Schizosaccharomyces pombe: one gene and its partners. The gene in region 1 interacts genetically with each later gene. Each region holds a gene or a part of one and is shown on either strand. Other genes may lie near its edges. The genes, in order: php5, SPOM_SPAC1F12.04C, min8 and ubp11.

What was found.
Region 2: mutations in php5 (region 1) and SPOM_SPAC1F12.04C together harm fitness less than expected from each alone (positive genetic interaction), as found in Schizosaccharomyces pombe (one large-scale study listed by BioGRID).
Region 3: mutations in php5 (region 1) and min8 together harm fitness less than expected from each alone (positive genetic interaction), as found in Schizosaccharomyces pombe (one large-scale study listed by BioGRID).
Region 4: mutations in php5 (region 1) and ubp11 together harm fitness more than expected from each alone (negative genetic interaction), as found in Schizosaccharomyces pombe (one large-scale study listed by BioGRID).

What each region holds. Positions count from the first base shown.
Region 1 is NC_003423.3:3,391,441-3,398,371, reverse strand, and holds php5 (CCAAT-binding factor complex histone fold subunit Php5), read left to right. Parts: upstream 1-1,865; 5' UTR 1,866-2,671; coding exon 2,672-3,016; exon of another isoform or gene 3,017-3,061; coding exon 3,062-3,091; exon of another isoform or gene 3,092-3,149; coding exon 3,150-4,022; 3' UTR 4,023-4,468; downstream 4,469-6,931. Other genes in the region: mitochondrial [2Fe-2S] cluster assembly NADPH-ferredoxin reductase Arh1, read right to left, coding at 1-455, 538-744; lys9 (saccharopine dehydrogenase), read left to right, coding at 5,203-6,555. UniProt on the Schizosaccharomyces pombe protein: Component of the CCAAT-bound heteromer, php5 is essential for DNA-binding activity. It is essential for transcription activation of cyc1. It is the linchpin that binds to the subunit association domains (SAD) of php2 and php3 to bring these proteins together.
Region 2 is NC_003424.3:3,809,965-3,814,935, forward strand, and holds SPOM_SPAC1F12.04C (uncharacterized protein), read right to left. Parts: upstream 1,886-4,971; 5' UTR 1,678-1,885; coding exon 1,102-1,677; downstream 1-1,101. Other genes in the region: tma19 (translationally-controlled tumor protein), read right to left, coding at 1-70; arrestin-related substrate adaptor Any2, read left to right, coding at 3,158-4,291; SPOM_SPAC1F12.06C (DNA repair endonuclease), read right to left, coding at 4,585-4,971.
Region 3 is NC_003424.3:4,923,949-4,930,074, reverse strand, and holds min8 (protein Min8), read right to left. Parts: upstream 3,538-6,126; coding exon 3,465-3,537; exon of another isoform or gene 3,417-3,464; coding exon 3,346-3,416; exon of another isoform or gene 3,281-3,345; coding exon 3,203-3,280; 3' UTR 3,130-3,202; coding exon of another isoform or gene 3,072-3,129; 3' UTR 2,980-3,071; coding exon of another isoform or gene 2,477-2,979; 3' UTR 2,256-2,476; coding exon of another isoform or gene 2,157-2,255; 3' UTR 1,937-2,156; downstream 1-1,936. Other genes in the region: cyclophilin family peptidyl-prolyl cis-trans isomerase Wis2, read left to right, coding at 1-130; SPOM_SPAC1B3.02C (Elf1 family transcription elongation factor), read left to right, coding at 559-624, 666-712, 756-826, 975-1,114; SPOM_SPAC1B3.01C (uracil phosphoribosyltransferase), read left to right, coding at 2,157-2,255, 2,477-2,979, 3,072-3,129; chaperone, AAA family ATPase Rvb1, read right to left, coding at 4,388-5,614, 5,668-5,811.
Region 4 is NC_003423.3:1,674,223-1,680,849, forward strand, and holds ubp11 (ubiquitin hydrolase Ubp11), read right to left. Parts: upstream 4,383-6,627; 5' UTR 3,355-4,382; coding exon 2,302-3,354; 3' UTR 2,130-2,301; downstream 1-2,129. Other genes in the region: pmt1 (DNA methyltransferase), read left to right, coding at 1-11, 56-880; DNA-directed RNA polymerase subunit Rpc10, read left to right, coding at 1,513-1,588, 1,642-1,757.

The DNA of each region.
Region 1 (6,931 bases):
AATTCTTTGATAGTAAACGAGACAGAAAATATGTTTCTTCTTCCTACAATGTGTAATCTTTTTAAATTGCTTCTTTCAAGTGATTTGAGGAACAATGGATTAATGTCAGTTGGGGATAATTGAGCAGGATTACTTAAAAGGATTCGAGCTACATCAAGTGAAACATTACCATGTCCAATAACTACTGCATCCTCTACCTGACTTAAATCCAACTCAAGATTTTGATTTCTGGGATCACTGTTATACCAACCCACCACTTCTCGCGCACTATAAACACCTGACAAGTCCTCCCCTGGAATTCCCAGTCTCTTGTCCCCAGCAGCTCCATAGGCAAGGACCAAACAATCATAATTTTTAGTCAAATCCCGTAAAGAAACATCAGTCCCAACGTTTACGTTACCAAGGAAGCGAAATTGTGTAGACTCAGCAATTTCGGAAAACTTGTGTTCTACATGCTACAATAGAGGTTAGCTGTATAATAAATTTAATAAGATCCATTTTTAAACCAATCAATATTTCTTGGCTTAACAGACTTACCTTAACTTCTGGATGATCTGGGGCAACTCCATAACGTACAAGCCCAAATGGAACTGGGCGGGATTCAAACATATCTATTTTGACATTTGGGTCATTTCGTAAGAGTCTGTGGGCTGTGTAAAAAGCAGCCGGCCCAGAACCGATGATGCCGACTACAGGTGAAGAAGTTTGAGTGCTATATGTTCTTTTAATGAATCGTGATAGCATCCTTTCTTAGCCTTAAGATGAAAGAAAAACAAAAAATGATTGAAATGAAGAAGTGAAGGATATCTTCGTGATTGTAAATCTGATATAAAACTAGCAGCAATTATCATTAACAACTGGACTCTCCTCAAAACGAAAAGAAAAGCTACCAATGCTTAATAAAACTGATTCATTAGTTTTAAAGCTTTAAATGTTTAATCTCAATAAACTGTTTGGTGACACCTATACAACTAGTGAATTTTATAGCATTGGATGAGTGGTCAGGTTCAAGCAGCCAAGCCTTTTGAGAGCAAAGCATTTATATGATAAGATCAGTCAGTATTTAGAAAAAGGAAATTTCTTATTAAATCAAAGGTAATTACAAACAGGAAAGTTGAATCAAACGCTACAACAGAACTTTTGCTGATCGTTGCTTACGATATTACCAGCAACAAACATCTCATATAGTAAAGTGCAAACCTTCAAATAAGTGTTTTATGTTGTTATTATGAGTGACTTAAGCAGCTTCAAACTGATTTCTGCAATGATTTTTTTATGATATTTCAAATAACTAGTTAGATGATTGTGGCTCAAATGGTTAATTTGAAAACGATATATTTAAATTTCTTAAAAATAATTAATCTCTGCTTATTCAATCATACTTATTTATAAAGATGCTAAACCTAGCTACTTGAAAGTGTTTTCTAATTCCTACTATTATAATGATAAAACAAAAAATAAGAATTTATTACATTCAAAATAATTCTATTTATAAAGGTCAATTACTCTTTCACGTTTAAAGAACTGTTGTAAGACCAACAAATTGTAACGCGGTAAGCTTTATCTTTGCGAGGACTTTAAAAAGGCGTAAGATTCAATTAACAAGGATGTATTTTAATGTAATTCCTGGATTGAAGTCAATTACTATACGTATTTTCTATTCTGTTTGCTTTAATTACTGAATAATATTTGCACATGCTATTGTTTATAGTATTATATCTACTACCGCGAAAACATTAATTATGTATATCAAATAATGAATATTTACGTGTCGTTAAAGTGTTTTAGCAATTGTAGAAACAAAGTATGTGGTACTATAAACCGGTTCCATCAATAAGTTGTGTGACAGCCAACCATCTTCTGCCAGCCACCAATAAATTCAATCGTACCGATTTTCGCTATATTGAGTGTTTTTGCACTCTATATACTTAATTAAGCCAGGTGTAATACGCTACATAGATAATTCAAGACACTTCGACGAGTTAAGGTGCTTTACTAGTGTTCTTTATTGAAGTTCTTTGTTTTAAGAAGTTAATGTGTTAGAGATACGTTAGTAACTGCACTTGTTGCTTTGTCTTACTCATTCTACGAGTTTTTCGTGAATTAAGACGATTGGTATTTATCTTTTTAGATATTGCAACTAAGCCTCGTGTTTAGCCGTTCGTGTTCCTTTCGATTGTAAAACTTTTTATTTTTTTCTTTCCGTTCCACTCTTCAACTTGACGTCAATTTGTTTTACTTCCCTGTTTCGTCTCCTGCTCACCTCTCATATAAGTTTAATTCCCCATTTTACCGGAGACTACTCCGCTCCCTTTCTATTTTATTTCTACTTATCTTGGTTACGATTTTGTTAAGCTGTACATCAAGGTATTGGAAGTTTTCTTTAATCCGCATCTTTATCGCCTCTTAATATTTAGATTTTCGATTTGAAATTCTTTAGCTTAAATTATTGTCAGTTTCTTTAACAGCTTTGTTTTTAGGAAACTGGTATTTGTTAGATCCCGGCATAGTTACAATTTTTGTCATTGTCGTTTTTTTAAACCTGTCACCAGTGAGATTGCATTGATCTCTTATCTAATTGGCAAAGGCCTTTACGTTTCCAGTTTTCTTTTTAAACTAAATTGCCTTTCTGTAGACTTTTTTTCGTTTTTCAATTAAGATTCATTGCAAAATGAATTCTATTCCTGATTCCTATTCCTTGAAACAAGGCTTTCCCGAAGGTTTAGGAGAATATGTTGATCCCTCTGGCAATCCTAATTCTCAGGTACGGATAGGTTATGGTCAAGATTCTGTTTCTCGCTTCCAACAACCAGTCCCCGATGTTGATCCAACTGCTGTCAATCACTACAACGCTAGTGCACCCATTGAGGTTGCTAGTCCATTTGATAATGTTACTCAAGGTCTTGTTGGCAGTGATGCACAAGCCCTTGCTGAATATTGGCAAAAAACCATCGATACATTGGAACATGACGATCAAGCTGTAAAAACTCTGCATCTTCCCTTAGCTCGTATTAAGGTATGCCACTTTTTCTGAATTAATTACTAACTATTGATTATGCAGAAAGTTATGAAAACTGACGATGATGTGAAGGTACGTTACTTTGAGTATTCGAATACTTTTTGACATTAACTTTTACTAATTTTTTTAGAATAAAATGATCTCGGCAGAAGCTCCTTTTCTGTTCGCTAAAGGAAGTGAGATATTTATTGCAGAGCTTACTATGAGGGCTTGGCTTCATGCCAAAAAAAATCAACGAAGGACACTACAAAGATCCGATATTGCAAATGCAGTATCAAAATCTGAAATGTATGATTTCTTAATTGATATTATATCTAAAGATAACAATAATTCCCGCGCATCTTCCAGTCAAGCTCATATGTCTGCTACTCAAGTTGCTGCTATGGGTGGTATGAATGGTTTACAACCTTTCCCCACTCAAGCTGGCTTACCCAATCAAGGGTTTCCAATGCCAACTGGTAGTCAACTTCCATTTTCAAATCAACAGTCAAGTCAGCCTTCAATGCAGTATTCCTCTCATCCATCCAGAATGCAGCAAATGCAAGATATTGATCAATCTATGTATAAACAGCAGCGTCTGGGCTCTGAATATCCACAACTACAAATGTCAGATAACTCCGGAAATGTTAACCAGATGAATATGCAAAGACCGGTCATGGTAGCACCGTACATGGCTGAGCATTTATACCGTTATCCACCTACGCATCTCGAATCTGGATCCTCAGCTTTCCGATTGCAGTCATCCCCTATGGGATATCAAATGCCCCAATTTCAAGGTAATATGCGACCTAATATGCAACAGTCTCAAATGTTTGATCCTTCTGCATATGGTATGTCAAGAAGACCTGGATCTCCTCGGCAATTCGATCAGCAACAGAGACTTTATTCACAGCCAAACGCTATGATGTATCAAACTCAGCAAGGGCGTCAGGGAAACCCAATGCATCAGCAGTTTTCCCAGCAACAAAACCCTCTTTCTCGCTATTCGCAACAACCCCAGTAATATCTTTTAATACCTGTTGATTTAGAACATGCAATTTAAATAATTTCTATTAAATTATTTGGGAGGATCCAACAGTGATGCATTTTTAGGTGGAACTTTCAATTTGTCAATTTTCGGTTTATCTACAAAAGCTTAAAGAAACAGTTGATTTTCATGACATGCTATGTCTAGTCATTGTTACTTTTTTTAAGCTATGTGTGGTTTTATTTTTTTAGCAAGACCGAAAAAGAAATGACGGAAGCTTTTCATATTTGCTGCCTCTTTATTTTCCCATTGCGGGACTGCTAGTGTAGAGTATTTTGTTTTACTTAAACATATATATGCATTTGAAATTCATTGTCGATAACATTCTACCTATTATGGATATTTACGGGTTGTCAATGTAAATAAATGATGGCATGTTGCAATCGGTTACCAAGAAGCAATTAGCTTTAAACAACGTTTAGGTTTACTTTATAATTAAATTTATTCGTATATGTACTTGAAAATTTGCACTTTTGATGATTTTTTAATTTAAAATCTCATAAATTTTAACTTCTATGTAAAAAGGTATTTAGGCTCATTATGCAAGGAAATTACAGCTGCTTTCATTCCCGACTGCATAAAAAACCACCATTCCACGGCCACCATACTCGAGGTAAAAATGAGTACGGCGGTGCGAGGCAGTTTAATTTACTCCTTCACCAGAACTACGCAGTTGATTATGAACAACAGATAGGCAGAAAGAGGAGAAACAAATTATTCTTATACTAAAGCTTAGAATTCTTTAATCTACCCCCAAACAACAACGAATGGCATCTACTAGCTTTTAAGCAACTTCTGTTCTGCAGAAAAAAACTACGTAAAAAAAGTTGCTAAAACTATCAGTTGCGACATCGCTGCTAACAAATTATCGACTAAACTTGTCGATAATAACGAATTCCCCTAGTAAGCCAAACATAACATTGAGAGGAAACGTAACGATTAAATATTAATTCAAAAAATGGTCCATGTGACTGCTTTTTTAACCGATTCGAGATAATCAGTTTTCATCAATTTAGACGACGATTTCGGCCATCAGAAATAAATCTGTGGATAAAAAGGAACCCCTTATATATCGCTAAAACCGTGACGACAAAACAGAAGTCTTTGGTTTACCACTTGTCCTTAACTGACTGCCTCTTTCATTTTCAACATCAAAATGCCTTCCATCTTATTACTTGGTTCGGGATTTGTCGCTCATCCTACTTTAGAATATTTATCTCGTCGTAAAGAAAATAATATAACCGTAGCATGCAGAACTCTTTCTAAGGCTGAAGCATTTATTAATGGTATCCCAAACAGCAAAGCCATTGCTTTGGATGTCAATGATGAAGCAGCTCTTGAGAAAGCTGTTTCCGAACATGATCTTACCATCAGCTTGATTCCTTACACTTATCATGCAACAGTTATGAAAGCTGCCATTAAGCATGGTAAACACGTTTGTACCACCAGTTATGTGAATCCCAAAATGGCTGAGTTGGAGGAAGCTGCCATCAAGGCTGGTTCTATTTGTATGAACGAAATCGGCGTCGATCCCGGTATTGATCATTTATATGCTATCAAGACCATTGAAGAGGTTCATAAAGCTGGCGGTAAGATTAAGTCTTTCTTGTCTTATTGTGGAGGTCTTCCCGCTCCCGAGGACTCCAACAATCCTTTAGGATACAAGTTTTCTTGGTCTTCTCGTGGTGTTTTGTTGGCTCTTCGCAACTCTGCCAAGTTTTATGAAAACGGCAAACTTGTTGAAATTGACGGCAAGGATTTGATGGAAACTGCTAAACCCTATTTCATCTATCCCGGTTACGCTTTCGTTTGTTATCCTAATCGTGATTCCACTGTCTACCAAGAGCGCTATCAAATACCTGAAGCAGAAACTATCATTCGCGGTACTTTACGTTACCAAGGATTTCCCGAGTTTATTCATTGTTTGGTTGATATGGGATTTTTGGATGAGACAGCTCAGGAATACTTATCTCCTGAAGCACCCGCTTTGCCTTGGAAGGAGGTTACTGCTCGTGTCATCAAGGCTGAATCTTCCTCCGAAGCCGACCTAATCAAGAAAATTTCTTCCATCCACAAATTCAAAGATGAAGACGACAAGAAGCGCATTTTGAATGGTTTGAAGTGGCTTGGTATGTTCTCTAGCAAACCCGTTACTCCTCGTGGTAATCCTTTGGACACCTTATGCGCTACCTTGGAGGAACTTATGCAATACGAAGAAGGTGAACGTGATATGTTAATCCTTCAACACAAGTTTGAAGTTGAAACCAAAGAAGGAAAACGCCAAACTCGTACTTGCACTTTGCTTGACTACGGTGTTCCTAATGGCTACACCTCTATGGCAAAATTAGTCGGCGTTCCTTGTGGTGTTGCTACTCAGCAAATTCTTGATGGTGTTATTAACACCCCAGGTGTTTTGGCTCCTAATGATATGAAGCTTTGCGGTCCATTGATTGATACACTTGCCAAAGAAGGTATTCGATTGGAGGAAGAAATTATTGACGAAGAGTAAGCATGTTTCACGCTTTGGTTCCAAACTCTTATATATAAGTTTGACATTTTAGAACACCAAAGCTTCTTCATTTTCTATAATTATTCGTAATCTTAGAGTTCGTCAACCTTTTTTTTGGCAATTTATCTACATGTTCATAAGTATAAATGTTCAGTTTGTTTTGCAACCTTATTTATGTGAAGCTTTACTTGGGGTTTTCGTATTTTCTAAGTAGATGTATTTAGTCTTAGGTAACCGACGTAAAACTCGAAGAAAAAATAACCTCTTCTCGATTATTTGAACAAACAACTCGAGGACCTTTTGACTGAGTGTTTCGTCTGTAGCATTTAGCTATTCAAAGAATTTTTGACATACTGAACTATTAACAAATCGTAAT
Region 2 (4,971 bases), on another chromosome or scaffold:
CTACCTCCTTCAAGTCGTAGGCGTCAGAAACGAGTTCGTCTCCAGAAATAACGTCCTTGTACAACAACATGGTGATTGCAGATGGTAGCTCATAATTTGACTTCTCGCAGGTTTAATGAGATAAAGCAGTCACAGTTTAGGGCAGGGTTACTGGATTCTAGCCATCCGTATGGAATGCGGTTACGAACAGTATTCACTTTACGTAGTACAGCGTTGTTTTCGATAGATACATTTTGTTTACCAATTCCTTCATTTTTTTCAATTTGTCGTAGTCTGTTCTCCTTTCTTTTAAATAACAATATTCTTTATATTTTCAGATTTTTTTTTAGATGAAAATATCGTTGTACTCAGTCAGTAGTAAATTGTTTTATATTACTGAATCTGATTTTTTGAGTGAAACCATTATGATGCGTGTAAAATTAAGATTAAAGCTGGAATTAAAGTCCAAATGAATTCAACAATTGAACCATATTTAACAGTATGTGTATTAATCTCTATGTTCTTTAATCAACTTGTAACCATTTATGTCGCCTCAAATTTATTATTCGAGCTATTATCCGTCAATTCTTGAGTCGTAATTAGAACATTCTCAACAGTACTGAGCTTCAGAAGAAACCTAAAAAAGTAGTGCATTATAGTTGATAATAATTCCTTAACGTTTATATATGATATACTTAAAAGTATGATATCGTACATCCTCAATTTGAAATTGCAGGGCCATTAAAAACACTCGTTAATAAAGATATTCAGTTCAATTAGAAAAAAATGACAAGGTACATTTTGGTGACAAACAAAGAGTAACTTAATGTTTTCCGTTGATTAAATTTTCGATCAATATCCCAAAATTTAAAACGCTTTAATGGAATGGATTAACGATTAAAATCGACTTCATTTCTAAAACCTTTCAAGCTTTAAACCGATTCAGTCCCTTCATTTAGAATGGCATATTTCGATTTTTGCTGAAAAAACCAAGACGACTGTTACCACTTTTGTTTACTACTTTACTCACATAGACATTCGAGAAAACGAAAAATAGTTGAGCACGAATAGAATTACATGAAAAAAGTAACTTCTATTTAAATTTAAAAAGCTCATTCGTAACTAAGCTCTTTTATTGTGCAAAGAGAGGATTAGTTTTCTAGTTTGTACAATTGCGCTGAAAAGACCAAGAACTCCAATTTGGTGTTTGTGTAAACCAGCTCCATTTTCTACAGACCAGTGAATACACAAAGGAAGGCTAGCCAAGTTTGAAGCTAAGTCTAACTGATGCTCCTTTTCGTCTTCTGTTTTTTCACGCAAAAGCTGGTAAATGGTCAATAAAGTATCGAGAAGCCAAAATCTAGAAGACCAAAGCCATAATTTGTCTTCCAACGGTTTTGATATGGAAATAATCTGTTTGCCGCCTAAGAATGCCAATCCTTCTGTGACATAGTATCCAATATTGATTGCGTTACTCATGTAAGTTTCAGGAGAAGAATCTTTACGAAAATTTACGATTAATTTGTAGAGACCAGGAAGACGTAAAATACATCGAAATTCATTTAGCATAGAAACCAGTTGAGCAGTTGATTTCGAAGATGCTGGATCCAACCTCGCAACGTTGACAAGAATGGCAGCAATTTTGTCAATTCCGCTGGGATTTTGCAGCATCAGGTTTAAAGAATGCATATAAGACATATTTCTCAAAAAATTTCAGCTCTAAGATTTGGTCAATTATATTGTTCACGAAAGGTAGTCTAATTTTCGTATACTTTAGTAGAAAAGCGTAAAATCCAAAAAAATACTAAGTAGCGTATGTAAACGACTAAAATTACCAAATCCAAAGATTATTTGAATGACGATAGATGTCGGTTCGGCAACGTCTTATGGTATAGAGAGTGAGTGTGCTGCTATAGTCGATCGGATCAGCAAACGTTAGCTAGTCTGTTTAGTACACCAATAGATTTGATAAGAAAAATCTACAGTGCAGCAAAGTGAAATGTTATTTTATGAGTTGATCGATTTTACTTTTAGAATTACAAATGATAAGATATGATAACTTTCTCCAGTTATCACGTCGATTAGATCGCCGGAAATAACTCCGATATTGAGGAAAGTGTATTCAGTTGCAACAAACAGCTGTGACGGCTTCAAAGTATCGGCAAATCATTTTTTGCATGTGTTTTAAAAAAATAGTTCAGCAATAAAAAACATAAATTTGTTAGGCTTCTAGAGGCATATGCTTATTTATGTGTTATTTTTTTAATATTTATCATAACGTATTTTTTATTACAAATCCTTAGGTAGCAATATCTTAAGAATTAAACATACATATGTTCAAGGATAAAAGAAAGAAAAACTTGGAAACTGGGTTTATTTTTTCTATTCCTTTGTTCAGATACATATAAAACAGCTTAGTTACTATGGATTATTATCATATAGAATTATGATAACTGTTTAAAATAAATATTATTTGGAATAACGAGATTTGTTTAGGTCGGCTTGAGATACGCACAGCTACGTAAGATTGTAGATAACAAACTTTGAAAACCTTCGCATTCAGTGGCCTGGGGAGCATGCAGACTACACTTCCTATTCTTCCTTTGCAAAAACCTTCTCTTCTTACTACATTAGTATATTTTTCATAGGGAGGTGCTATATGCACTGTATTCATAGTTACGCTCTGCTTACAGTGAGCAAAGTATTTCTTTGGACGCTAAAAAAAGGCTCCTGTATATTGATTTGAGTAAATATTTTGGCATAGAAAAACACATTCAACGCTACTTAATTGTTTTTTCCATTTCGAACTACTATTGAGAGGAAGTTGTTTTTTCAATTGTTTTATATCATTTGAAAAAAATTGAAGCACAATTGCTTATCTTTGATCAAACGTTTAAGGAGTAAGCTCCAAATTCGATAATCCCTATTCCGTTCTACATAAAACCTGAGTTCATCTCTTGTGCTGTCGCTTTCAACCTCAGAAGCTGTTAAGGATATATATTAATTTAAAATTTTTACCAAAAAATATATTTCATTCTCTTCATAGCCGTTTTCTGTTTGTTTAATTTCAATCTCATATTAATTCTTCTGATCGGGCCCCCCTTTGTTCTTTAGATTCATTTTTTCCTACTCTTTCCTTTTAATATTTAATTCCTAAGTCATTAGCTGAACCGTCAAGATGCCTTCATTAGTCAGGAGATTTCAGCATGCTTCAACAGAAGAACAACCTTTCGAACTCAACATCCAGATGGAGTCTCCTCCTTTGGTAATGTATGGGAATCCAGATGTTTCTAGTGGAGCGTTAGCATCTGGACTTGCCAAGTTGACTGTATTTCCTGCAGATCTCAAATGCGAATCCATTGTCATGGAATTCGTCCGCATAATATCCACAAAGCGTCCTTTGCGCGACAGCTGTCCCGATTGCAAAGCTCAGGTTGAGGCTTTTGAGAAATGGGAGTTTTCTAAAGAACCTACCGTATATACTCATGGTACACATACTTGGCCATTCACTTTTATAATACCTGGACATTTTCCACAAACGACCAACTCACCATTCATAAACGTTACTTACATCCTAAAAACTCGCGTTAAGATTCCCAGTCAACCCGATTTTGTTTTTGAATATCCTTTAAACTTGAAACGCTCTATTGTCACTAATGCTGATAAAATTGCCCAGCGTCTCTTCCCCCCTACTTCGCTTATTGCTCTTTTAGAGCTGCCTCCTGTAATTCACCCTTTGAGTTGTGTTCCTGTTGAATTTCAGCTGACCGGTGTAAAACCTGAAAACTCCAAGGTTGGTTGGCGCTTAACGAAGATTTCGTGGAGAATAGAAGAACAGATAAAAGCTCAAATAAATGGTTGCTCGACCCATACTGGGACAAAAAAGCCATACATTTTCAAGGAGACTCGGCTGTTGGGAAATAATGAACATAAGTCTGGTTGGAAAGAAGATGGCGATAGAATTATCTTCGAGATCCCTATCAGTACATCTTTACTTTCAAAGCCTATTTGTGATGTTTCCTTTGATGGACAATTCTCTCTATATATTGCCCATCAACTAATTCTTGAGACTATAGTCGTCGAAGTGATGAACTCGCATCCCATAAACTCGAATGCCCGAATTTTAAGGATGAAGGTCAATTTACCTTTGACTGAACGAGGTGGTCTTGGTGTTAGTTGGGATGAGGAATGCCCCCCAATGTTCAATAGTGTTGGACCCAGTCCTCCTGCATATGAGCAAGTTGCTAGATCCTCTCCCACTGATATTCCACTACCTCCACCTTCATGTCCTACAAATGTTCAAAGAGATTGATTCGAATTTTAGTTTCTTCCGTCAATTTTGTTTTTTTATCTTTCTGTTTTAATTGGGCTTGTTTTTTCATTTCAAAGATTTGTGTATCTTTATATGACTTGAACGGTAATTTTTTGACCTTTACTAAGCTTGGATGATACAACAGGATTTCCATTAAAGGTTGCTTAACGTTTGTTCAAATTCCGCTTTTTTATTTCTCTTTCCTGTAGATTAATCTAATTCTAAACCGTCAATTAAAATACTCACAGAATATCTAAGTAGACAAAGTAATGTTTCTCGTAAGATGATTTTGCTTAATTTTTCTTATTCCTTTTCGATTGACTTAGGACAAATTTGGCATAAATGTCTGCTTGCCTGATCGGTTCCGGTACCCTGCTATGAGAGCTACTGCATTTCTGTACGAGTTGGATAGACTGTTCTAAATTCATTTGGTTACCGATGCTAACATAAACTGGGCGTTTCGAGTTACTGCTTGTCCATACTGCAGCGCCCAGAATCTCAGAAGATTGATCAATCGAGTGAATCAATATTGGATGATCAGTTGTTTTCTTTAGCACGTGTTTCTTTAAAGTTTCACGATGTGCATCTAAGCTTTCAGTCAAACCCACGCAATGTAAGTAATTTTTCGCGACGCCAACAACGGGAAGATTCAACAACACACCTAAATGGCAAGCCAATCC
Region 3 (6,126 bases), on another chromosome or scaffold:
AGAATCAGAGAAAGCACTTGCTAAGGCTGGTAACGATCCTGCAATTTCAAAGAAGCTTGCAGAAATTCGTCAAAAGAAAAAAGATTATAAGAAGCGCCAACAAAAGGCCTATGCTAAGATGTTTCAGTAATTCCAAATTAATCGGCGTCACGTGAATGCTGAGAAGTCAATTATGTTTTACGTTAATTTCTAGTTAGTCAATGAGAGTTTTATCGCATTTACAAAATAACCATAGAAGGTCAACTACGTTGCGAGAAAGAGTGCAAGATTTACTTATGGAGGATCTGGCTTCGTTTGTAAGACTGGTATGCCTACGTTTGCGTTTCATACAGCAAAGTATCATCATGAATAGAAAGAACTCTAGAAACAAATGTGCATCAGTAAACTCAATAAGAATATCATATTTAAACATTTAATTCATTAAAATTAAATAAGACCGTCTCTTACCAAGTGTCGAAATTACATGAGTTTCCGCATTACCCTTCCTAAGGATGAGAGTGCTAATGTGAACCCGCTAATACGAATCTGCAGTTTGCAAAACGTAAACAGATTCTGCAAATGGGTAAAAGAAAAGCAAAAGCAAAAGTGAAACCCAAAAGAAGGGCACCCCCATTAGATACGACTGTGAGTTATAGTTTAATTACGAAATTTACTAACTTTACTAGTTTACGTGCCTATTTTGCAACCACGAAAAAAGTGTGAGCTGTAGTCTGTATGCTTATTAACTACTTTCATTTTTTTTAACACTTTGATAGTGATAAACAATCAGGAGTTGGAAATCTACACTGCAAAATTTGTGGTCAGAGTCATCAATGTCTAATTACAGGTATGAAAGAGGTGTTTTATTTCAATAGCGGCACGTAAATTATTACGATTAATATTGCGGTTAATTTCTTTTATATCGTCTCTTTATCTTCTTATTTCTTGTTCTTTTATGAAATTTTCTTGTACACTTATTTACTAACATTATCAAGCTCTTTCGGCACCCATCGACGTATACAGCGACTGGATTGATGCTTGTGATGCTGTTGCAAATCAAGCTAAAGAGGTTGATAATATAAATGATCAAGAAGCCTATTCCCCTGAAGCAGCTTATGAGGAAGAAAAGGAATGATTTTTTGCTATTGGCCTAACTTGCAAAAGGAAGATTCTTTTCAGAGCTTAAATGTTGAAAGTTTCCGTTCATTTATGGTGATCTTATTTTCGTTGATGCTCAGTCGTTTCAATTAAGAGATTTCTCTGAAGCGATAAGAAGGTATTAACTACATTGCAATGAACAAGACGCTGTATTTGGCAAAACCGGACGAGCTTAGTGTATACAAATCTAGGCATGCTCTTGTATATATTTGTCCTTTTTAAAGACGTCGAACATACGAATTTCGAGATTCCATCTGATGAACCGACAATTGGACGATAGTGTTAAGCTTATTTGTTGGTATTCGGATGTACCATCAATATGGGTGTGATATCTTGCTCATTGGCAAGATAGCCATTTCATTGCTTTGTTTTTGGTTTGGTAGAATCGCTGTTCACTATGACAGGCTAAGAATTACGAGTGCCTAGAGTGTGGTTGACTTCGACCTTGTACTTATTGTATTCTCCATGTACAAAAAATGTCTAGAATGAAAGAGATATGAAAATATGTTCATGTGTTCTTACTGCATTTGATTTAAAAATCCTTACAATACAACTCATTTCTTGGTTTCTTGTGAATACAGTTGGATGAATTGAGAATTACAAGTAAAAAACATTGAAATCCAATTAAGATTGTAAGCTGCATGGAGTCCAATTGTATGAATGTGTGCTTCAAAAATTTGTACTGTCTTTCTCATTCTTAAATATAAGCAGTAATTCATTTAAAAACATCAACTTGCCCTAAAATATGTTCAATAGTTAATTGATATTCTTATTTAATTTTGCCAAGCCTGCTAGAGTAGAAATCTTTTACTGCGCTAAGTAACGCATTAATCATAATTATGTTATTATGAAATGATGTTGTAAATCTTTATTTATGTTTAACGAAATATACTAAGGTTGATAAAACTCATTTTGCTATTGATAGCTTAAAAGCAAATGTGTTATTGTGCTTTTACTTTTTACCATTTACTTGGTAAACAACTTGATAGGTAGATATTTAAGCATACATCGTCAAAAAGATGTCGCTGGTACCTGAGCATGGAAATGTGTACGTACTAAATCAGACAAATCAATTAAAAGGGTTGTTTACCATCATTCGTGATAAAACGAAACCTCGTGTATGCGCGTTCAGTTTACAACAGATTACTGAGTCAAGGTCTAAGAACTAATTGAAATGAATGTGTTAATATGTCCAAGAAATTTTAGCTTTTTCCTCTATTAATGGGGAGATAAATGTTTATCAGTGGATGATAGGAAGCATTCATTATCAGTTAGTACATTCGACAACTTCTCGTGTATTCTTTGTTGAATCTGTTATCCCTGCTAACATGATATTTAGTCTGAATTTATTTTTTATGCCAATAGAATCATTCGTTTAATTGTTGAAGAGGGCCTCAACCACTTGCCAGTGTCTTCAGCTAAGGTAACGACTGCTCAAAATGCTGAATACGAGGGTGTAATGTTTGATGGTCGTATTTGCGGCGTTAGCATTATGAGAGCTGGCGAAAGTATGGAACAAGGATTGCGTGAATGCTGTCGTTCTGTTCGTATTGGAAAAATTTTGATACAGCGTGATGAGGAAACTCATAAACCTGTGTTACACTACATCAAGCTTCCCGAAGATATTTCTAAACGCTATGTCTTACTTTTGGACCCCATGCTAGCCACTGGTGGCTCTGCTATTTGTGCTATGGAAATTCTTATCAACATGGGTTGCAAACAAGAACAAATCATTTTCCTCAATGTAATTGCCTCGCCTGAAGGGTTGAAAAATGTTCACGATCGTTTCCCCAATATACGTATAGTTACCGCCGTAATTGATGAGGGACTCGACAACAATGGGTATGTGCACGATACACTACAAGTGTTCATGAGGTCAATACAAAGTTGATCGCTATTTCATTCATGAATAATCTTTAACACATATGATTTAGATACATTGTTCCAGGTCTTGGCGATTTTGGAGACATTTACTTTGGAACGAAGGCCTAAAGTTGCTTTGAAAATTTGCTCAATTAAACACACAACCACGCACTAAACATTAAAAGACTAATTTTAACAGCACTTAATGAAATTGCGGTTTCTTAACTTTTGTCTCTTCTTTTTGTTGTGTTTGTGCTACCCAACTTGGTGAGCGTCGAATCTGTAAATATAGGTCAGTGGCCGTTGTTTAAATAGTAATAGAAGTTTGGAAATAATTGTACATACTTCAGGATCAGAATAAATCTTATATCCCATGGTAAATATTGCAGTGGACCCAGCAATTCCAATGAGGATTGCTAAAATTCGTTAGTGATTTGACAAATTCGGTTTTCTCAGTAACTAACCCAGAGGTTTGAGCTCAAAAGGAAGCCTTTGAAAGGCCCTGTAAGGTTTCATAATTCTTGATAAAACTGCCATTTGTACACTTAATAGTTAAGCATTCAAAGTCTTCTCTTCAACTTATATTGGGTTGCCCTTCCTCCTGGTCTCGTCATTATTGCTTTACTTTGGCCACACTTATGTAAAGTGGTATATTGACGAACTAACGAGGCATATTAATATATCATAACAAACGGGGTTGCTTACTGTGCGCTAAGAGTACTGTGTGTGTTGATAAAATTGCTCAATCGATGGTGTTGCAATGTAAATAATCAATTTCTAAAATGACGACGAAACAGTTATCGCAGATGGGGAATTTTTTTTCCGCGTATTACAAATGTTGTATTACTCTTTTTGTCTATCATGCTTTATGAAGTTACTGTTGAAGTTTTTTGCCTGTTATTCGTTCTTTAGCACTTGCTTATCTCAAGTGGCAGCTTGTCCTTTCGTGGAAGTAGGAATCAAAAATGAACAGAAGATTTATAAATAGCATTCAACTCAAATTTAAAAAAAAAAAAAAAAAAAAAAAAGAACTCACCTTCTTATAATATTTTAAGTTTATTTACAGAATGATTGCAGCTTTTGCAAAGTACTTCATACAGTCTTTCCATGCATGTAAAAAAACCCTAGGAGGTATTGAATTCTAAATAAATTCATTGATCCTGACTTTTATTTAGGTATTCATAAATGATTACAGTATAAATAAATGCCGGAATGGAAGGAATATAACTGGATAAAAAAAAGAAGAAATTGGTTAAGCTTAAAAAAAATTTACAAGTTTATAAATAAAAAGGTATATATATTCACAACCTGTGTAAATCTAGCTAGTTTCGCATATAACCAAAAAGTTGAAATAAGTAAGGGTAGATCGTTATTAAGGATAATATTTTTATTGAAGGAAGCCTGAAGATGATTTAACAACTTGAGCGGAGCGGCGAGCATCTAAGAAAAGATCGTTACATTCTTCGATATCTTGTACACCAATCTCTTTGTTACCATGCAAACTGGCAATAATGCTAACGGGTGTCAACAGTTGTATAACATAACGGAGACTAGTACGAGAACCTTCTTGAGCCAGCTTGTCCAAACACTCATCAGTAAGGATGATGTTTTCAACTTTTGCACGTATCTGCAAAATGGAACGAATTTCTGACTCTGAATAGGGGAGTGTGCGAACTATTAGTAATCTGTCAAGCAAATCCGTAGGAATACCATGGGGAGCTTGAATATCCTCAGTACCCCGAATGGTACAAATGCCTCGATTAGAGGCAAAGATAACAATAGGAGAAATAGTGCTTTCTAGGGCTTGGTTGAGATAAGTAAAGCACTCAATGTCTAACATATGAACCTCGTCGATGAACAAGACACCAGGAATAAGTTCAGCGATTCCTTGTTCGATATATTTGTTGACAACCTTGTTAATTTCACCACGAAGCTTATCGGTGATTTCAGTTTTCTTGGGCTTCATTAACTGACCCATCATAGACATTATATCTTGTCCTCCTTGAGGGCGGGCATTGGCAATATCCAAATCATGAAGAGTCACGTCCTGAACAATTTCTTTCCGCTTGTGTACCTCACCTTTAGGCATAGGAACATATTCTTCCGCTTCTAAATCGAACTCCGTAGCATACGCATCGCTACGACCCACTCTCTTTACGGCACCTGTATTGGCTTCTATGTAAATAACGTCCCCGGTTGACACTTGTTCTCTTTGTAAAGATTCGTAAATGCTAGGATCTAATTTGAGCTGTTTGGTACCCTTATGCGTTTTGAGGCCCAAAAGGACGTGTGAAATGGTTTTTCCATAACCGCCCAAAGGATTTTCGGCTTCTTCGGGAACCATTTCTGTAACCTCACCCTCATACACTTCTTTTGTTTCCTTTACCCGAAGACCAATGGCCCTTCGAAAGTTTTCCATTAAAGCCTCAGTTTTCTTTATTTCACTAGAGTAGACTTCACTTCCCACCATAGGACAAAAAGGAACTTTAGGACCAAGTTCTTGGGCAATCGCCAAGGCCAGTGCTGTTTTACCAGTACCAGCACCTCCAGCGAACAATACACCTTTACCACCAAATTTTTTAGACTTGATTAAATCAGTGATGATGCCACAAGCCTAAGAAAATATATTAGAATACATTATATTAAAGAATTATCAGGAATGCTTACCTCACGAGCCTTTTCTTGTCCAATGAAACCTCCACCAACAGATTCACAAGTTCCATCTTCTTTTAGGCCTAAACCTTTGATATGTGAATGTGTAGTAATCCTATTATCACGGCCATTTCCCTTAACCTCGCTGATTTGGACCATTTTATAAGTAGTTGGTTGAGGATAGCTTGCTTTCAAAATGTGACATTAGGGTTGGGTGTAGCAAAATAGTACCAAGTTAAATAAGAAGAAAGTAGAGCTGAGGTAATGAAAAAGACAGGAAATGAAATAATAAAGCAAAGAGGTGTATTCTTTCTTTAAAAAAAAAAATTAAACAGAAATTAACAATCGATTTTTGAGGAATTCTATTTTACTGTATATGATGCAAAAAAAATAGTAACTAAAACTGTTATAACGAGTACTTAAGTAATAAACGCAAATACATCTAAATGTTTTCAAAAAGTTATTCTTGATTTA
Region 4 (6,627 bases), 1.7 Mb from region 1:
TTGCTAAACACGTATGTTTCAAGGATTTACTCGATAACTATATTAATACTTATAGATGGATATTTCAACTTTAACGGCCAAGGATTTTGATGCATTTGACTGTAAATTATGGACTATGAGTCCCAGTTGTCAACCTTTTACTAGAATAGGAAACCGTAAAGATATTCTTGATCCTCGTTCCCAAGCATTTCTAAATATTTTAAATGTGCTTCCTCATGTAAATAATTTGCCTGAGTACATTCTAATTGAGAATGTTCAGGGTTTTGAGGAGAGCAAGGCAGCTGAAGAGTGCAGGAAAGTTTTGAGGAATTGTGGTTACAACCTAATTGAAGGTATTTTGAGTCCAAACCAGTTCAACATTCCTAATTCTCGCAGTAGATGGTATGGATTGGCTAGGCTCAATTTCAAAGGAGAATGGAGTATTGATGATGTTTTTCAATTTAGCGAGGTAGCGCAAAAAGAAGGCGAAGTAAAAAGAATAAGAGATTATTTGGAGATAGAAAGAGATTGGTCTTCATATATGGTACTAGAGTCTGTGTTAAATAAATGGGGCCATCAGTTTGATATAGTTAAGCCAGATAGCTCTTCCTGCTGTTGCTTTACACGGGGATATACACATTTAGTACAAGGTGCAGGCTCAATTTTGCAGATGTCAGATCATGAAAATACGCACGAGCAATTTGAGAGGAACCGGATGGCTTTACAACTTCGGTATTTTACCGCCAGAGAAGTCGCCAGGTTAATGGGATTCCCGGAAAGCCTCGAATGGTCAAAGTCTAATGTAACCGAAAAATGTATGTATCGCTTATTAGGAAATAGTATAAACGTTAAAGTTGTTTCATACTTGATTTCTCTATTACTGGAACCTCTAAATTTCTAAAAGCGGTTAGAAGTCAAAACTATTTTTTTAAAATGAAAGGAAAATTAATATTACTCGATAAAAGTTCTGCAAAAAAAGGCACTTATTTCAATTGGAATTACCCTTTAATGCATACAGTGTTTCTGAATGCTTTATATAACTAATTACCAGGACTAATTTCAAGACAAAGAAATCGTATATTTATACACTAAAAATTGGAGAACTCGGGGAATACATTATTTTTGAGCTATTGTATTTATCCTCACACGTACACATAATTGTTATGAAATATAAATTAAACAATCTAGTTATTTATCGATTTAAATTTAAAATTATGTATCCAGCCCTTTATTCTTTTGCTAGATTTAATAAAGGTTAAATTTAAAAGAACGTCAAAATTAGATACGAAATTATATTTGAAGTTTATATATCCAATAAATGGAAATGTACTTGAAGTACTTTAAATGAGAACTTTTAACTCATTAATGTATTATAAGATTAGCTTCCCAATTTTTTTTGAAGCGTTAATATTGAGAATAGTATGGTAGTAAAAATTTGCGCGCTACTACTCACCACCACAATTAGAAAGTTCAAGTGAGGAAGTAAAATCACAGGATTTAACTAGACTCAAATACACTAAAAAAGTTTACAAAATGAATCATCCAACCTCCACTGGCGGTACCGCTTTCAATCCCCCCAGACCAGCCACTATGATTTATTTATGTGCGGGTATGATCATTGAGTAGAATTAAATGAGTATATGATAAAAGACTGACCATCAGATTGCGGAGCGCGTAATACAATCCAAGCGAAAGAAGTTATTCGTTGTCGAGAGTGTGGGCATCGTGTTATGTACAAAATGAGAACCAAGAGAATGGTTCAGTTCGAAGCACGCTAAGTTTTAGAGTTTTCAGACTATGAAAAGAGAAAAACGGAATTATAACTTTTAAAATTTGAGAAATGGCTTAAAAATGGTGTAATATGCAGGTCCTTATGCTTAATTCGAGAAATTAGAAGGTCCTGGGGTTAAATGGATAACCCATGACAATAATAACATTTTGGATATTTGATGCATTAAAAACTGTGAATTGTACATGATGAGTATATCTAAAATTTTTTTTAGTAAATTATAAGTCATTTGGCGACGGTTTGAAAGTGCCATGTGTACTTTAACCATGCCTATAAAAAATCGTCCACTTGAAAATCTTAAAGTCAAGAAAACCGATTTTATGGACAGATACGGTGGATACATACATACATATATTTTCATACACAAGTTTTGCAAAATATTAGTATTGAATGCTTTAGCTACAAAACAACAGGTTATAATTTGAAGCTTTCAACAGTTTATAAAGGGTGACATCAGTCGGAATCATTAGGAGAAATATCAAGAATTTTTTATTAAGGTACAAAAACGTATACGATTAACTAGCATATATGCGCTAATCAAGCGCAAGAGGAGATTCCATTTCGTAAAACAAAAGACAAGCTGAACGAGTTTGACTGAGAGCTTCATTGAGAGATGATTTAGTAATTAAAGAATCATTAGCCTTCCACCAAATGTCATCTTGAAGTCTATAGCAAAGATAATGACCATAAGTAACACTTCCGGAATGGGTGATTAAGGATCGTAAAATATAATGATGTTTGTTTTTTAGGATAAGTTTGCTAGGAAATGAGATAGAAACATTATTTCTGGTTAAACCTTGGCAGGTATATGATGTTCTCTCAAGTTGAATTTGCAAAATCGTAGGAGGATTTTTCCAATCAACGGTACGAATGCATGAAGTTTTGGAATGTTTTGGGGAGGATTTGAAGCAAGAGTCACATTTATAGTCAGAGATGTGCTGTTCGCGATCGGCTTCCATTAAAGAGAGCAAGGAAACGTTAGAATTTCCACTGTACTCCGGAGGTAGACAAAGCTGTATCGATGTGGCAGTAGAATAACTAATACTAATGGCAAGGCATTGACAACATTGTACCTTTTGCTCCATAGTTCCTATGAATGGCGAATCTACAGGAAAGGAGAGTACCTTCGACCATTTGTAAGTGTGAGGTTTTTGAAGTTCCAAAGTTTCCACTAGATGTTGTAGAAACTCTTGTGCATCTTGTTGAATGGAACGAACAAGTTTTTTATTAGTGGCAATCTCTAATGAATTGAGGAAGGAACCGGGAGTGATTGGATTACCGGGGCCACTATTTAATTTTTGCAGAAGTTCATAAAGGGTAGCGTATAAGGTAGAGGAAGAACAACGGAGTTTTAGGATTTCCAATAATGATTCTTGACTTGCTAGGGATTGCAAAACACAATTGAGGAAACAATCGTTACCCGAAACATTGTAAAGGCCTTTGATGGAGGCGTTTTTCACCAACCTCTTGCCAGTGGAAGGAGAGGTAACGATGTAAAGGGCAGCAAACGTAGTTAAAATGGCGGCACCCTTGAAAACTGTTTTGTATTTTTTTGCCCTAGAAATGGACAATGGCGTTGTAGACATGATAATGAATGCATGCAATGAAGAATTAGGGAAAAGAAATTATTAGAGGTAACAGAGAATATAATTTACAAAAGAAAAAAAAAATTTATGCATAAAAACAAATTTTTTTTGGCAAGGGAAATAAGAATAGAAGACGAGCGTTAAGTCACAGCATATATCCACTAGGTTGTTGTTACTAGCTTTATTGGTATAAACGATAACACGAGTCCAATGGCGGTGAGGTAAAGGACACGATAATAACGTACAATATAGGTATAGTTAGGGAGACGAGGTAATAAGAACCAAACTTTTTGAGCATAAAACAACCTTTTTAGGAAATAATCAGTGATAGGATGAGTAAAAGTTTGAAAGTTTTACAAAGGCAAATTTAAAAAAAAAAACAGTTGTCAAAAAAAGTGTCAGCAATTAGAATGTTGTCGAGTAATGCGACAAAAGACACAAATATTACTTTTTGGGAGGAGGGAGTCAATAAATAAATAGATAAAGTTGAAAGTGGTAGAATGATTTTACCTTTGCAATTTTAGCGATCGCAATAGATGAAATAGGCGATAAGATATGAAAGGATAAAAAAGAAAAAGAAATTAAAAAACGTTAGGAAGTAATTGTAGAGAAATGAAATAGCACAATTTAAAAAAAAAAAAATAAGAAAAGAGAAAAAAAAAGTATAGCGATCCTATCAAAGAGAATAAATTACGATGGAATCAAGAACAAGAAAAAAGGCAAGAGGCGTCTATAAGAAACAGACAAAAGTTTTTTCGAAGAAGAAAAAAAAAGGGATCCAAAAAAGATGGGAGATTTTTTTCACTTGATTATGTGTGAAGGATTTTTTGTAAGGTAAGATTAGACGATGGGGAGGCAGTGCCGATTTGTCGGTATGGATTGTTTTTTGATGGAGAAATTAAGATAAAAGTAAAGGTATTAAAGTTTTTGCAGAGAAAGCTCACTCATTCACAAGTACGACACAAAGCAAATAATTTGCAATCAGATATGTGTATAAAAGAGCAACCTTTAGAGAAAAAAAGCAGGTTGGAAGAGAGGGACAGGAGGGCCAAACCCTCAGCATAAATATGCGCCTGATGAGACGAAAAAAAGGTTTTTTGCATTGGCAGCGACGTTTGTATTTGCCGGCAAGCCCAAGGGGTTGCAATGATGCGTAAAAGCGACGATTGGTGGAAGAAGGAAAAGAATGAAGTTTTATTTGTGCAGCCCTCCGCATACCAGTTAGGGAGATGCAACATGATTTGTTAGGGAGAAGAGAGGGAGGACAAGGAGGACGAGTAGGAAAGAAGGTGAAGTGGAGGAAGAATAGGGAGGAAGAAGGAGAAAGAAGGAAGAGTAAGGAGAGGGAAAGAGAAGGAAGGAGAAGGGAGAAGGAACAAAAGGAAGACGTTGAAGGTATGACAAGAGAACAAGCGGTACATTCTTTTTGTAATGTCAATAACTTTTGAATTTTACTTTTGAATGATTAACCATAATAAATTCATTTGCCAATGCAAAAAAAAACTAGCAAAGGATGGGCAGTTGATGAAGCATATATTCAACGAAGCATAGCAAAAAGTTATCTCTTTTCTCCATCCATCATCGGTGTTTGATGTCTGCCGTCAGTATGTTAGGTGTTGCCTCTGACTGTATATATGGACGGGATTGCAGACAAAGAAAAGAAACAAAAGGGCTTGTCGCATTGTTTACATTCGAGAAAAATTTACGTCACCCAAGAACACGTTGAAGCGATATCAGACACGGCAAATGTCAGTTGTATGATTGGTTAGTTGATGTGAATGGACAGTTTATATTGCGTAAATTGCAAATCAGATGCAATTGATTCATTTCATTGGCTGAATAAAAAAAAAGCATCCGCCAATCCAATACAGTAGTGGAATTGCGGGGTCAGTAAGGAAAACCCGGGCTCCAAGCAGTCAAGTTGCTTATGAAAAGCGTAGCCTATGGTTGATGTAGTGGTTAGGAGTTCGGAGGCTCGACCGTTAATAAGAAAGGTCAAGAATCGTAAGGGTAAAAGAAGGATGAGAATAGCAAAGCTCATAGGTAGAGAAAGACTTGTGCACGCCGAGTGTAAACAAAGAAAGGTGCGCATGCGAAGAACACATGGAGGTCTGGAAAATAAGAAGCGCATGAGTGAGGATATGTGATATGTGAGAGTTGCGTGAGCAAAGCAAAGTAGAACTCATGCCAAAGTCATGGTCTCGTCGCATGAAGGAGATCCATAAGAAAGAAAGAAAGACAAATGATAGAAAAAAAGAAAAGTAAAACAGAGATAGGAAATAGGAAATAGGAGAAAAAAGAAAAGACAAAGAGAAATTGGGTTGATTAGTAGAAATGAAATTGTTCAATCGTCGGACGTTGATTGTCAAACGTTAATTGTCGATTGTCGATTGTCGATTTCTAGTGTCGATTGTATTCTCCTTGATTGTCAATTGTAAAATTTCGTCTTATGTTTTCGTCAACTCTCGCCTATCTCTTAATTGTTAAAATCTATTCTCGTCTATCCGCAAGTACATCCCAAAGACATCAATGGAAAGATGTGGTAAAAATTAATCAACAAATTTTTTTTTTTGAAGTCCAACTTTTCATATCCTTCAAACCTACTTTACAACTCCTTTTCGCACCTCCTTTCCTTTCTTTCCACTCCCCTTCTATATCCCCACTTATTCCCTTCTTTATCAGCTATCTCGCTGTCTACCCTGCGATCGCCGCTACCATCGTACCGTACATTGACATTTGCTAATCTGACAACTTGGTATATTGATGAATGCGCCATTTACAAATTGATCGACTTCCTTACCTTTTCTGCTTTTCTGTCTTTGGCTTGCGTTGCCTTGCTTTACTTTATTTTTTTGTTTTGCATTTCTAATTTTTGTTTTCTTTTTTTCCATTCTTCATCTTTTTGCTTTTCTTCTTTTTTATGTTTTAGTAAACATCCCCTTATCTAACCTTTCTTTGCTCTTTTGCATCTTCATCCTTTACCATTTCTTTGTTTTCTTGTTGTTCTGATTTTCCTTTTCACTTTACCCCCCCCTCCTTCCCCTACTTGCCCTTACCGAAAGTTATCTCATTGTGGCCGATTTTCAAGTTTCTTTGTTCTACCTCAAACCTCACGCCTTCCCCTACTAACGAATTCGTAGCTAGCTACACTTCCGCACTACTTATTTGTGTTGCACCTCCATACACCTCATAATCAAAACTGCTAATTACAGCAACTTGGCCACGTAGCGACAACGTGCAATATATTAGAAGGTTGGATCCTTTCTCCATTTT